Diceros bicornis minor: one gene and its partners. The protein of the gene in region 3 interacts with the protein of the main gene of each other region in a pairwise test. Links are inferred from orthologs where the notes say so. Each region holds a gene or a part of one and is shown on either strand. Other genes may lie near its edges.

Region 1 (3,746 bases), on a different chromosome or scaffold from region 3:
ATCCCTGAGGGTCGTGCCCCTTGCAGGGTTTCACAGAGGAACCTAAGCTTAGGGGGTCCCAACCCTCAAGGTTTCAGGTCTCAGGCTGTCTCTCATCTGGTGAACTCGTGGGCTTCTTTTTCCCAGTGGGGGAGGGGTCTCCTTCACTCACCCTAATCCAGGTCGCCTCTCCCTTCACTTTTGCAGACAGAGCCGATGAAGGTCCAATCGCAGATGCCTCCGTGCTGAATTGGGCAATTTGCTGGTCTAAGACCCAGCCCAGGCCTCCCTCGGTGGGGAGGCAGTCATCCTTTTTAGAAGCCGGCCTTCCAGACTGGACTCCAGCCCCAGCTCCCAGAGCCTTCTGGCCCCTGGCGTCCCCCTCCCCAGGACCTGGGAGCAGCTCGCTCCTCCTCTTTCCCCAGTGGAAGGCTGTCCTCAAGGATGGGCATGTTCCCACAGGAGAGCACCCCAACTCTGCTCAGCTCCTCGTGGCTGGGTGGTCAGAGCAGGAAGGGGGAGGCCCCTTCCCCTTCCCTGGTCCCTGGTCACCCGGTTCCTTGGTTGGGCTTCAAGGCCAGGTGGCCGCACCTTGGGGCGAATGGGGGGCGCCTTCCAGGCGCTCCTGATAGGGTCTATAGAGCCTGGCTCCCAGAAGGGCGCGCGCAGGCTGGCTTTGGGAGCACAGCCCTCCAGCCCCCTCAGTTTCCCTCACTCCAGGTCCGGCCGACAGCAGCCAAGCCTGGAGTTCTAAGGCCCCTGCTCCTGTGGCGGGTCCCTTGCCCACCCCGGGGAGAGCGGGTTTAGAATCGCCCTCCTCCCGCGATCCCAGGGCGCCAGGAGTGGGGGGCGACCTGGAGCGCCCGGAGGGAGGCGGGGCCGAGACGTCCAGCGGGCGGGGCGGGGCGGCTCCCAGGCTCCCATCCCGCCCCCCTGACTCACCCAGGCGGGCCGGGAACTCCGCGGGAGTCGCGGCCGCTCCGCTCCCAGCGACCTAGGAGTTGGGCCCAGCGTCTGGTCCCGGAGCGGTGAGTAGGTGGCTGTCCGTCCCTGGGGACTGGGGTGGCGGAGTCGGGGTCGCGCGCGCGGGAGGACCGCTCCAGGTGCGGCTAGCCCTGTGGCCTGAGCTAGCCGGCGTCCGGGACACGCAAGGAGCTGGGGAGGGGGTTGGGGGTAGAGAGAGGCTCAGCCCGGGCCCTCCCGAGGGCGCCTGTCCAGGGAGCCCCGAAGGCCTGACCGAGGACTGAGTGAAGATCAACAGGCTGGGGGTGACCCTGGGGGTCTTGACGACGCTCCCCTCTCCTTGGCAGCTTAGACTACAGCCACAACTCATCCGTGTGAGCCCCTCAATGCCCCAGAACCCTACCACGTGGGGTCCTCACCAGGCTGCCCCCTCTGCAACTCTTGAGCCTCAAGAATCCTCTGAACCCCAAGTCTTGGCGGGGCAGCTTGGAAAAATACTAGGTTGGGAGTCCCCAGGCCTGGGGCCCCACCCAAGATCTGCCACTAAGGTGAGACCCTCCCCCACCCAGGCCTCTGTTTCTCCCTTGTGTAAAGGTCAAGTCAAAAATCCTCTCCAGGGCCCGGCCCCCTGGCCTAGTGGTTAAAGTTCCCTGTGCTCCGCTTCAGCACCCTGGGTTAGGATCCCAGGTGCAGACCTACACCACTCATCAGCCGCAGTGTGGCAGCGACCCACATACAAAATAGAGGAAGATTGGCACAGATGTTATCTAGGGGCGAATCCTCTTCAGGAAAAAAAAAAAAAACCTCTCCAGGGTTTCAGGGCTGACAGCAAGTCGCTATGTCTTCCTTGCCCCTTAGCATGGGGGGTGGGTGGGGAGGGGGGCTGGACCAGGTGAGCCCACAACCACCATGTTTCTGGAGGCAAGCTGGGGGCTTGGGGAGGGCCTGAGAGGGGAGAAGCAAGGGTGAGGATGCATGGGCTGAGGTAAGGTTGGGTAGGGGGCATGTACCTGGTCCCAGGCTGACGAGACCCTCCCCACAAGCCTGGCATGCAGATCAGCCATCCTCCCATGTCTTCCCTGCCAGAACCCCGCTCTGAGCTTCTTTTGGCAAAGATGCTCGAACAGGTTCTCGCCCGAGATGAAACAAACGATGCAATCAGACAGAGGGGACTTAAGGGTCTCGCCTCAGATGCCACTTGTGCTTGTGAAACCTTGAGCAAGTTATTTCACTCCCCCGAGTCTGGGAAAGGAGGTCCCGACACCCACGCTCACAGAAGGGGAATCAAAACGAGGCATCGAAAGCGTCTGGTGGCCGCCAGCGGTGCGCGGCTCTGTTGTTGTTCTTCTCTGGGCCCCGGTCCCGAGAGCCCTTCTCCCTGGACCCTCCCACCAGCCCTGCTCAGACAAAGGGGGGCCACCCTTGTGTCTGTGGAAGCTTAATGGCAGGTTCGGGACCATCAAGTTTGAGTCACAGAGACAGATAATGATAACTCCCGTGTCTGCCTCTGAGGGTTTTGTGTGTCCACCTTGCTCTGTGGGAGCCACTGGGCCATTCACTGGGGACCCTGGAGGTCTCTGCCTTCTTGCCTTTGATTGTGGACCCGGGATGGGGGTGGTGGAGCTTCCAACGTCGTGAGATGGGTCCTGAAGCGCGGCAGGCACTCGGGCAGGAAGTCAGTCCCTGTCTGTGTGTGGCGTTTCTGCCGCAGCCCCCAGAGTTACTGTTCTTAGGTTAGAGCCGAGCAGGGTCCCTTGCAGGTCCTGACGCGGCAGGGAGGACAGTGGGTGGCCAGAGCTGGAAGAGGGTTTGTGGCTGGCTCCCTGGTCCTGGGTCTCCCTGTAGCTCAGTGTGTGTACTTGCACTGTGTCCCCACATGTACAAGCTGCACGCTCCAGCATGCCCCCACGTGTCCCTTTGGTGGCTGCAATGTACATTCGGCCCCCTGGAGGCTGTTGAGCTGTCATTCGGGTATTTCTATCAGATTCTTTGGTGACTGAGACTGCACATGATGCACTGGGACACTTTTACTCAGCTTTTCGTTTGGACAGGGTGTAAAACCGAACATGAGGGACAGGCCATTATGTGAGGGATCTGTGCTCTGTCTGTGCACCCCTTTTGTGTGCCTGGTTCTAGGTGAGTCAGGGCCTGAGTCAGGGGACCCAGGAGCCCGGGTGTGGGCAGGCGTGTGCCTGTCCCTTGCTTGCCATCCCCATACAGGGTACAGAGGTGGGAGCCTCTGATGGGATTGAGGGGTGTGGTGGACTGCCCAGGCTTCAGCCTGGTGGGCAGGGCATGCATCCTGTAACCCCACCCACCCCACCTTGTCCTCACCCAGGAGTCACCAAAGGTCTTCAGAGGACCAAAAAGGGAGGCATGGAGATGTCAGAGTGCTTGGCTGAGGTGTGGGACAGGGGCCAGGTTCCCCCCAGGAGATGGGAGAGAGGCTGGAGGACCAGCGGGCAGCCCAGATGCCTCCCTCCCCTGTGCAGCCTGTGCCCAGTGACAGGCCATCAAGATGAGGACAGCAGGCTCCAGGAACCTGCCTGAGAAAACAGGGGCTGTACATTGGGGAGCATGGAGGCTGGGAGGGGGAGCCTAGGAGCCCCCTTGGAGGCAGTGGAGGCCTCGCTGTCTCCCTTTCCTCCCCCTCCAGCCCCAGGGAGAGAGGCGGAGGGAGGCTCGTCGGTAATGTCCCAGCTTGTGGCCCACGCCCCCATGTGCCCTGTTCCTGGCCCTCTGTATCTGGAATAATGATACCTTGGTCTAAAATGAAACCCAGGGACAGACAGAGTGGGCCGGGA
Region 2 (3,746 bases), on a different chromosome or scaffold from region 3:
TTAACAGTCTGCACTTCTATCTCCTGCATAAGAACGCCCATTCTCAGGACTGCATCCTGGTCTCCGGCCTTAATCGTCACTCGTTTCAGTGAGTAGCAGAGGGTCTGGCTCATGGAGGCAATTAGTAAACGCTAGACTGGACAAACTGAATTCGGACGTGATCGGACGGATCACCGGGGGCAAGCGAGGACGCGTGTACAAAATGACGTGGAGAGTGAATGCCTGAGGGCGAAAGAAGCTGGGACCACCTCCCCATGTAACTGCCAGCCTCTGAGAACAAGAACTATGTTGTAATCACCTCTGCTCAGTAAAGGTTTTTGGAATGAATGAAATGCATGGGTGCGGTCAGTGACCTGGTCTCGGCCCCAACTGCAGCATTCATAGTCACCGCCCCGCAGGAGATGGGTGCACTGCGGCCCACAGGGCAGACTCCTTCCCTCCAGGTGCCCACCAGCCCCCTAACTGTCCATCAGCGGTTCTGCAGCCTGAGTGCTGGGCCCACCCCGGCGTCTCTGACACGCGAGGCTCGGGGTGCGGGGGAGAACCCGCGCTTCCAACAAGGTCCCAGGTCCCGCTGCCGCTGTCTGGGGACCGCACTTTGAGAAAGTGCTCCAGAGCAGCGCAGCACAAGGGAAACACAATAGCAGCCACATATACAGTTTAAAATTTCCATTGGCCGCCTCTTTAAAAAGTAAAAACCAACAGGTGAAATCAATTTCATTATATTTTACTTAATACGCCCAAATACATACACATTTACAATATATCCACACTATTATTTCAACATGTAATCAATATAAAAACATTATTAAGGCATTTTACATTCTTTTTTCCTCCTAATCCTGGGAGATCTGGTGTGTATTTTACGCTTAGCGCTCATCCGCAAACGTCTAGCAGCTCAACGGTTCCACGCGGCTAGCGGCCCCCAGCTGCCAAGCGCGGCAGGTGCGAGAGGAAGGAAGCGGCCAGAGAACTACACCTCCCGGCATGCTCCGGGCGCACCCCGCGACGCACATCCAGCGAGGCGCGGGAGCGAGGTGCCCACGGAGGAACCACATCTCCCGGCACGCTCCGGGCGCGCCCTGTGACGCACTTTCTGCGCCGCGACGGGAGCCAGGCGGCCGCGGAGGAACCACATCTCCCGGCATGCCCCGGGCGCGCCCTGTGAAGCACTTCCGGCGCGGCGGCGACAGCGCGCCCCCGGCGGCTCGGCGGCGGAGCGAGGCGACCGCTCAGGCCGCGGCGAGTGACGGGCGGCCGGCCAACGGGGCCGGGGCGGGGCGGCGGCGGCCAGCGAGGGAGCGCGCGGGCGGCCTGGCCCCGCCCCCGCCCCGCCCGCCTGCCCCGGTGACCTTCAGGGCCCGGGCGGCGGGCGCAGGCCCGGGCGGCGGCGGCGGCGGCGGCGGCGCGATGTTCGTGCAGGAGGAGAAGATCTTCACGGGCAAGGTGCTGCGGCTGCACATCTGCGCGTCCGACGGCGCCGAGTGGCTGGAGGAGGCGACCGAGGACAGCACGGTGGAGCAGCTCAAGGAGCGCTGCCTCAAGCACGTAAGGCCGGCCGCGCCCCGGCCCCTCCGTCGGCCCCTCCGTCCCTCCGTCCCCGCGCCGGGGCCGGGCAGCGCCTCTGCCTCCTCCCCCCACTCCGCACCCGGCGCTCCTGGACGCTGCTTCCCGCGCCCGACCCGGCCGAGCACTCTGCACTCCATCCTCTCCTTCACCTTCCACAGCCGCCCGCGGGGGAGGGCGGATCGGGAAACTGAGGCTCCGGGAGGCGAGGCCGCCGCTGGGAGCCGGGCTTCCTCCTGCACCCGCGCTTGTGCGTACCGGCTGTCGGGGTGAGGGTCTGGGTTTTTCAGCAGGCCCCCAGAGCTGGGAGTGAATGCCCGAGGAGGGAGATCCCTTCCCTTCCCTGCGGAGCCGGCTTCCGAGCTGTCTCCGGTTGGCCGGCGTGGGCGCCGGGACGGGCTCTGGCCCCCCGCCTCCGAGCTGGAATCCCCTAACACAGTGTCCCCGCGCCCCTGCTTCCCGCGGCCTGGAGGTTGATTCGGGGGGGAGGTCCGGGAGAGGGGCTCCTCCTGAGAGAGCCGCCGTTTAAAGTTTATTCACGTGAAATACTCCTCATCGAGTTAGTTTCTTAGGTCGTTGATTTTTGGAACTAGTTCTTGGTTTCCTCTCGGTAAACTTCTCGACTCTGTAAGGCGGGCTAAGGCTTCTGTGTGTCTGACTCTGGCTGCCTAAGGAAACTCTATACTTGGTGTGATGTAGAATTTGGGTTACAGGAGGCTGCGGTCTTTCAGTCCGTTAAGTTATATATTTATTGTGATAAGTTGGATATCTGTATTTGTGATAAGATGTTTTGTTAAAATAAAGCTAAGCGTCATCTCCCAGGATAAACTTCCAGTTATAATAACTACCTACAAATATTTTTGAGTCACTCCCGTGAGTGTGGTTCTGGGGAGTTCTGTAACTGTCTGGGGCAGGCCAGAGAGCGTTCTGGTTGTGAGAGCTGGATGTGAATAACGGTGCTGTCTTGGCCTCAGTGATACACATCGAGGAGGAGGGGGCTCTGGGCTCACTCACTGGAGGGGCAGGTATGTTTTGGCAGCCTTTTGTTTATCTTCTGACCTGGTTGGTGTGGTTTCGCTGTCTAGATAACCCTCAGTACAGCGCTGAGGTAGGAGGCAGGGGCTCCATGGACATCTAGACTGAGAGCCAGGCACTGCTGCTTGTCTAGTCTTGTATGTTTTTTAAAAGCCTCCCTGAGATGCTGTGTCCTCCCCCACCCAGGACGGGAGCTCCCCGAGGGCTGGGTTTGTATCCACACATCCAGCGCCAGAACTCACGTGTGGGTTAATTGAACAAATGGAAGCAGATTGCTGATCCAGAATTGCGTGGACGTGGCCTGTCACCTGCTGAGGCAGGCAGGGAGAAGTCAGTGGGTAAATTGGTGTGGCATTTTGAGTAACTCACTAATGGTACGGATTTACATAACTGCCATAATATTATTTTATGAAGAGAAACAGGAAATGAGAACTGTTTGATCCACAGATGCTTGCTAATGAATTTCAGGAGCACTTGGGGTTCATTAGGCAGCCTATTTTGATATGATGCTGATTATTATGTTCCCGATATTTATTATTCCAGTCGGTATTGAGATGTATTGTTTGGGATTTTTTCTGGGCATTATCCTACTTTAAATTGAGATTTCATTCCACTCTGCAGTCCCTCCAGGTGTGGAGGATCCAATCAGTAGGGGAGTTTCACACCCAAAGAGACAACATGAATTACAGGACTTGAGAGCCATCAGAAAGTATTCTCACCTCCAGGCCCATCCCGTTCTGTAGGCAGAGCGCTGCCTCTTGAGCCGTCAGACTGCATTAGTTAGGAAAGAGAATTCTCGAGTTGTGTGCTCGAATGTCCCCCTGGAAACCAGGCCCTGCTGCAGGCAGGGGGCAGGCGGATGTCAGCTCCTGCTCCTCCTCCCCAGGTCCCCCTGGTGTGTGCTAAGCTGGTGTCGTTTTTTTCCTTTCTCTTTCCCCTCTACCTTGAGGGGACACTGTGGGCTTCTTGCCCCACAGTCGGGGAGTGGGGAACGGGCAGAGTGAACCATCTGTGTAAGAGGAGATTAATGAGTTTAAGAAAGTTACATCTGTAACGTGGTGGGGTGTTTTCTGTATGGTAAGTGTTCGTGAAATTGCCAGTAGGGAACATGATACCTGCTGGTGTGACTTAACATTCTTAGATCA
Region 3 (3,746 bases):
TAAAGCCGTTAAAAAACAGAAAACTTCTAAAGCAGGGGCTTAACCTGGGCTTTTGAGAACTGTATACCGCCTGGAATAGCATACTAAAATTGGCATCCCGTATCTGTCGATTTCACTGGATTCTCTATGACTTTCTCTTTCACTGGATTCTCTATGACTTTCTCTTTCACTGGATTCTCTATGACCTTCTCGCTCCTACCTCCGCCAAAGGTAATCACTGCTCTCCAGAGCTAAGGGCCCCTTCACAGGGCTCAGTGCAGTGCCTGACTGCGTGGAAGGGATGTGATGAATATTAATGTAATCAAATATGAAAATTCACAGTTTTAGGATTTAAATAAAAATTATTAGTGTCCACTTTTAAACAAGTAACTAACGTAGGAATAGAATGCAATATGGTTCCCTGCCTCCATTGCTGTAGAAAAGGGAATGATTGTGAATTCCATTCTGACATGTAAGTTTTTTTTATTCTAAATTATTATTCGTAATAGGATGATCTAATCATTTTTATATGGCTACTTGCTGATCATTAGTATGTTATTAAAAGCTTTTAAAAAATAAGTTTAATGACTTCATAGGAAATCAAGTTATGTATATATGTAAAGTTTGTCGTTTCTCAACATTTAGCTGAAAACTTGTGCATCATCAGAAAAACATCAGGTTCTGTTCACCCCCTGAATCAAATAAATGTACTCTATGATTTTTCTCTGAATGATTAGGACCACAAAAAGCAGAGAAACGTCATTTGCATTATTTGACTTTGAGGAGCTGTGTTTTATAGACCCTTCTCTGGGTTAATACCAAGAGGGGAAAAGGTAGTAGAGGCTTGTTGAACTGGGCTGCATTGCATTTTTAAAAATTTGCATTTGTGTTTCAAGCTATTTGAAAAGTCTAAGAAAACAGATCATCTTTTTCTCTAACTCAAGGAAGTTAAGTGTGTGCTCTCACATTCACCCAAACTCTCCTCTAAATTTGCACTTTTCAAATTGAGGTACCGTATGCCTAGTTTTCTTTCTAGAATCTATTCTCACTGCATCCCCCTTTTGCTTATCAACACATCCTCCTTCCGATTTCTAACACGGTTCCTGTCCCGGCTGCGTTGCACCGGGAGACGGGCATAGGTTGCCTCTCCCTCGGTTAATCGTGCAGTCACATTCTGGTGAGGGACCTCAGCAGCCCAGCACCAGAGCATGGAAACAGCTGACTGCTGACTCAGAGGGGAAAGCAAGCCACCCACGAATCTCATTGCAGCTCGCTACTGCATCCCTATCCCATAATCCCTTGCTTGGTTTGCTGCAGTCTTTTCAACAGACGCTGAGTGAGAAAAAGATGTCCTGTGAGATAAAGATTGATGGGTTTGAATACCGAAGGGGGTCTCCCACTTGTTAATGACCCAGAAACATTCCTGCCGACTTTCCTGAGCCTTCTCTCCTTTCCTCCATTTTTCTCTTCCTCTGTTCTGTTCATGAACTGGCACATCACTACATAGAGCAGAAGATATGCTGGGCTTCTGATGATGGCTGCACTGCATGGTAGGGAATTTTAACCAGTCTCTTTGCATGGTGCTTCCACACTTGAGATGTTAGCTGAAATGTGCGTTGTTCTTTTGGATCGTCGCGGAGCTGCAGCGATAGGCTTGGGAGGGTTTAATTCTTTGCCTCGTTTATTAGTCTGTCTGCAGAAATGGGTAGGTCCTAAATGTTCGGATTGCTTAGTATTATGCCAGGTGGATAACTAATTTCTCATACTGTCTCTGTTCTGGCTTCCCCCCAGCCCCCAACCCCCATAGTGATGCTGTATGCTCTGTAACTATAAGATAGAGGGAGACCCACTCTTTGCTTAAACAAAGGCATCAAATTAACAAGAATAGGGAGAAAGTCATGCAAGATTTTCATATCAAGTTCCTAAAGTGATCTGATGACATTTTTATAATATGTATCTCGGCTTATTTTAAACAGGAAATTTTTTTCCCCTGCATCTCTCTGTTGGGTACAAAGATGAGGATGAACTATTTAATTTGCAGGATCCCTTCCTCCATATCTCAGGGCGGAGGAAAATGTGCAATTCAACCCTTCCCCCACCCCATCCTCTGTTAGAGAACCCTGGGGTTAAGTGCCAAGGTTCCCAGTTACCATTGGAAACCCATTCATTCATAATGCATGACTCGACCCCCTGAATTCTGAATGCCATTGATGATCAGCAAATATGCAGGAGATAATTTGGGGTTTTTTTTCTGACATTTTTTCCCTGCCTTTGAAGTAGACTCAAAGCTGGGTGGAGTTCAATGGTAGCATTACACAGAAAAAAAGAAATCCTTGGGTTGGACCTTAGGTTTGCTTCCTGAAACAGTGGGTATTATTTTTGTATCAGAGAGCTTTTGCTACAAGTATGCCCCACCCTGTCACTATTCCTTATTTTGGGGGATAGGAGAGCAAGTAGGAAGGCTATTTATTTTAAACTAAGAATTGAATGTTAGTAAGTGGATTTCTGAACCAAAAGGTAAAGTGATAGTTGTCTTAAGAAAAGATGGTTTCAATGTCATAGTTTTAAAGAACAGATCTAGAGTCAGAAGGAGGCATTTTAAAAATTGTTGGTTTGTTTCTCTGGCTTAGATCATATTAGGACAGTTTTATTCCTCATGAATAAATTATTAGAGGTTTTTTTTTTTTGTTAATTAGAATATGTAAGGAGAGCCATTTGTTTGCCCAGATTCTTAAACTGATTTCTTAAATATTAGGATTCTGGTGTGAACCTATTTTCGGGTGCCTTTCATTATTTCTCAGCAGGTGCTTTGGTAGCACTGTTCCTACCCCAGTGTCATGTTAAATAATGCACGCCCCTCCCAAGCAAACACACAATGAGAAGTTTCATGTGTGCTGTGCTATGAGAAAGCAGCTTTCTGCTGCAGAGATCTGAGTAGTGGCCTTTCTCAAACCTCTAAGTATTTCTTTCCCATTTTCTCCTAGAAAGACACAAGCAATTTGTACTGAAAGGTTAGGACCCGGCTGAATGTAAAAATGTTCTCTGATAGAATGTGCTGTTTCGAGAAATAAGAATGTAGCATATATAACCCACATATTTTAAAAATGGAGAATAAAATCTATACACATTTTTCACCATAGTTAATATTATAATCCTGAGATGACTTAATTTTTTAAATTTATATGATAACAAAAGCTTAGGTGATTTTGTTGCTTGTGAAATAAAGTAAAAATACTCATTCTTTGTCTTACTAAGAAATGAAAATGTCCTTCATTTGGATATCTTTAGAGATTAATTTCTCCAAATGTATGAGTTTCTTTTATCTATCTTTATTAAGTAGAAAAAAATTCTAAATATATAGCAATTTTTAAAAATTTAAGCTTAATTTTTAAGACTCCCTTGTGCTTTTTTTTTCATTGTCTCTCCCATAAAACTAAGACTTTAACCAAACATGTGTATGTATTAGTGAAATGTACAGAAGAGAAATACTTTCAAACATTAAAAAACTTGCTACCAAATCATTTGCTATCATAATTTTTTTTTCTTTCAAAACCGTGGCTGAATTACTTCTAATTCTGGCAAAATTATAATTTCCATTCACCTGTAGTTGCTTTTAAAAAAAAATATCTGTGATGCATCTGTGCCCCTTGATTACTTATATAAGGATTTTAGTGTAAGAGTAGAATTTGTGGTCTGTAGTGGAGTTGGCTATTAGGGTTCTCTGAATATTATTATTGTGTAGGTTGTCTGAATTTAACAGATCAGGT

Evidence for each region. The genes of interacting proteins can lie anywhere in the genome.
Region 1: the proteins of TRIM2 (region 3) and LRRC8E interact in binary tests that used the Homo sapiens proteins (3 or more experiments, as listed by UniProt). The two-hybrid records come from large-scale screens. The link is inferred for Diceros bicornis minor from reciprocal best matches to the Homo sapiens genes TRIM2 and LRRC8E.
Region 2: the proteins of TRIM2 (region 3) and UBAC1 interact in binary tests that used the Homo sapiens proteins (3 or more experiments, as listed by UniProt). The link is inferred for Diceros bicornis minor from reciprocal best matches to the Homo sapiens genes TRIM2 and UBAC1.

The regions. Positions count from the first base shown.
Region 1 is NW_026691615.1:694,781-698,526, reverse strand, and holds the start of LRRC8E (volume-regulated anion channel subunit LRRC8E), read left to right. Parts: upstream 1-938; 5' UTR 939-1,007; intron 1,008-1,289; 5' UTR 1,290-1,490; intron 1,491-2,848; exon of another isoform or gene 2,849-3,746. UniProt on the Homo sapiens protein: Non-essential component of the volume-regulated anion channel (VRAC, also named VSOAC channel), an anion channel required to maintain a constant cell volume in response to extracellular or intracellular osmotic changes.
Region 2 is NC_080767.1:42,825,851-42,829,596, forward strand, and holds the start of UBAC1 (ubiquitin-associated domain-containing protein 1), read left to right. Parts: upstream 1-1,281; 5' UTR 1,282-1,410; coding exon 1,411-1,548; intron 1,549-3,746.
Region 3 is NC_080750.1:41,471,922-41,475,667, forward strand, and holds the start of TRIM2 (tripartite motif-containing protein 2), read left to right. Parts: upstream 1-1,314; 5' UTR 1,315-1,526; coding exon 1,527-1,529; intron 1,530-3,414; exon of another isoform or gene 3,415-3,746. UniProt on the Homo sapiens protein: UBE2D1-dependent E3 ubiquitin-protein ligase that mediates the ubiquitination of NEFL and of phosphorylated BCL2L11. Plays a neuroprotective function. May play a role in neuronal rapid ischemic tolerance.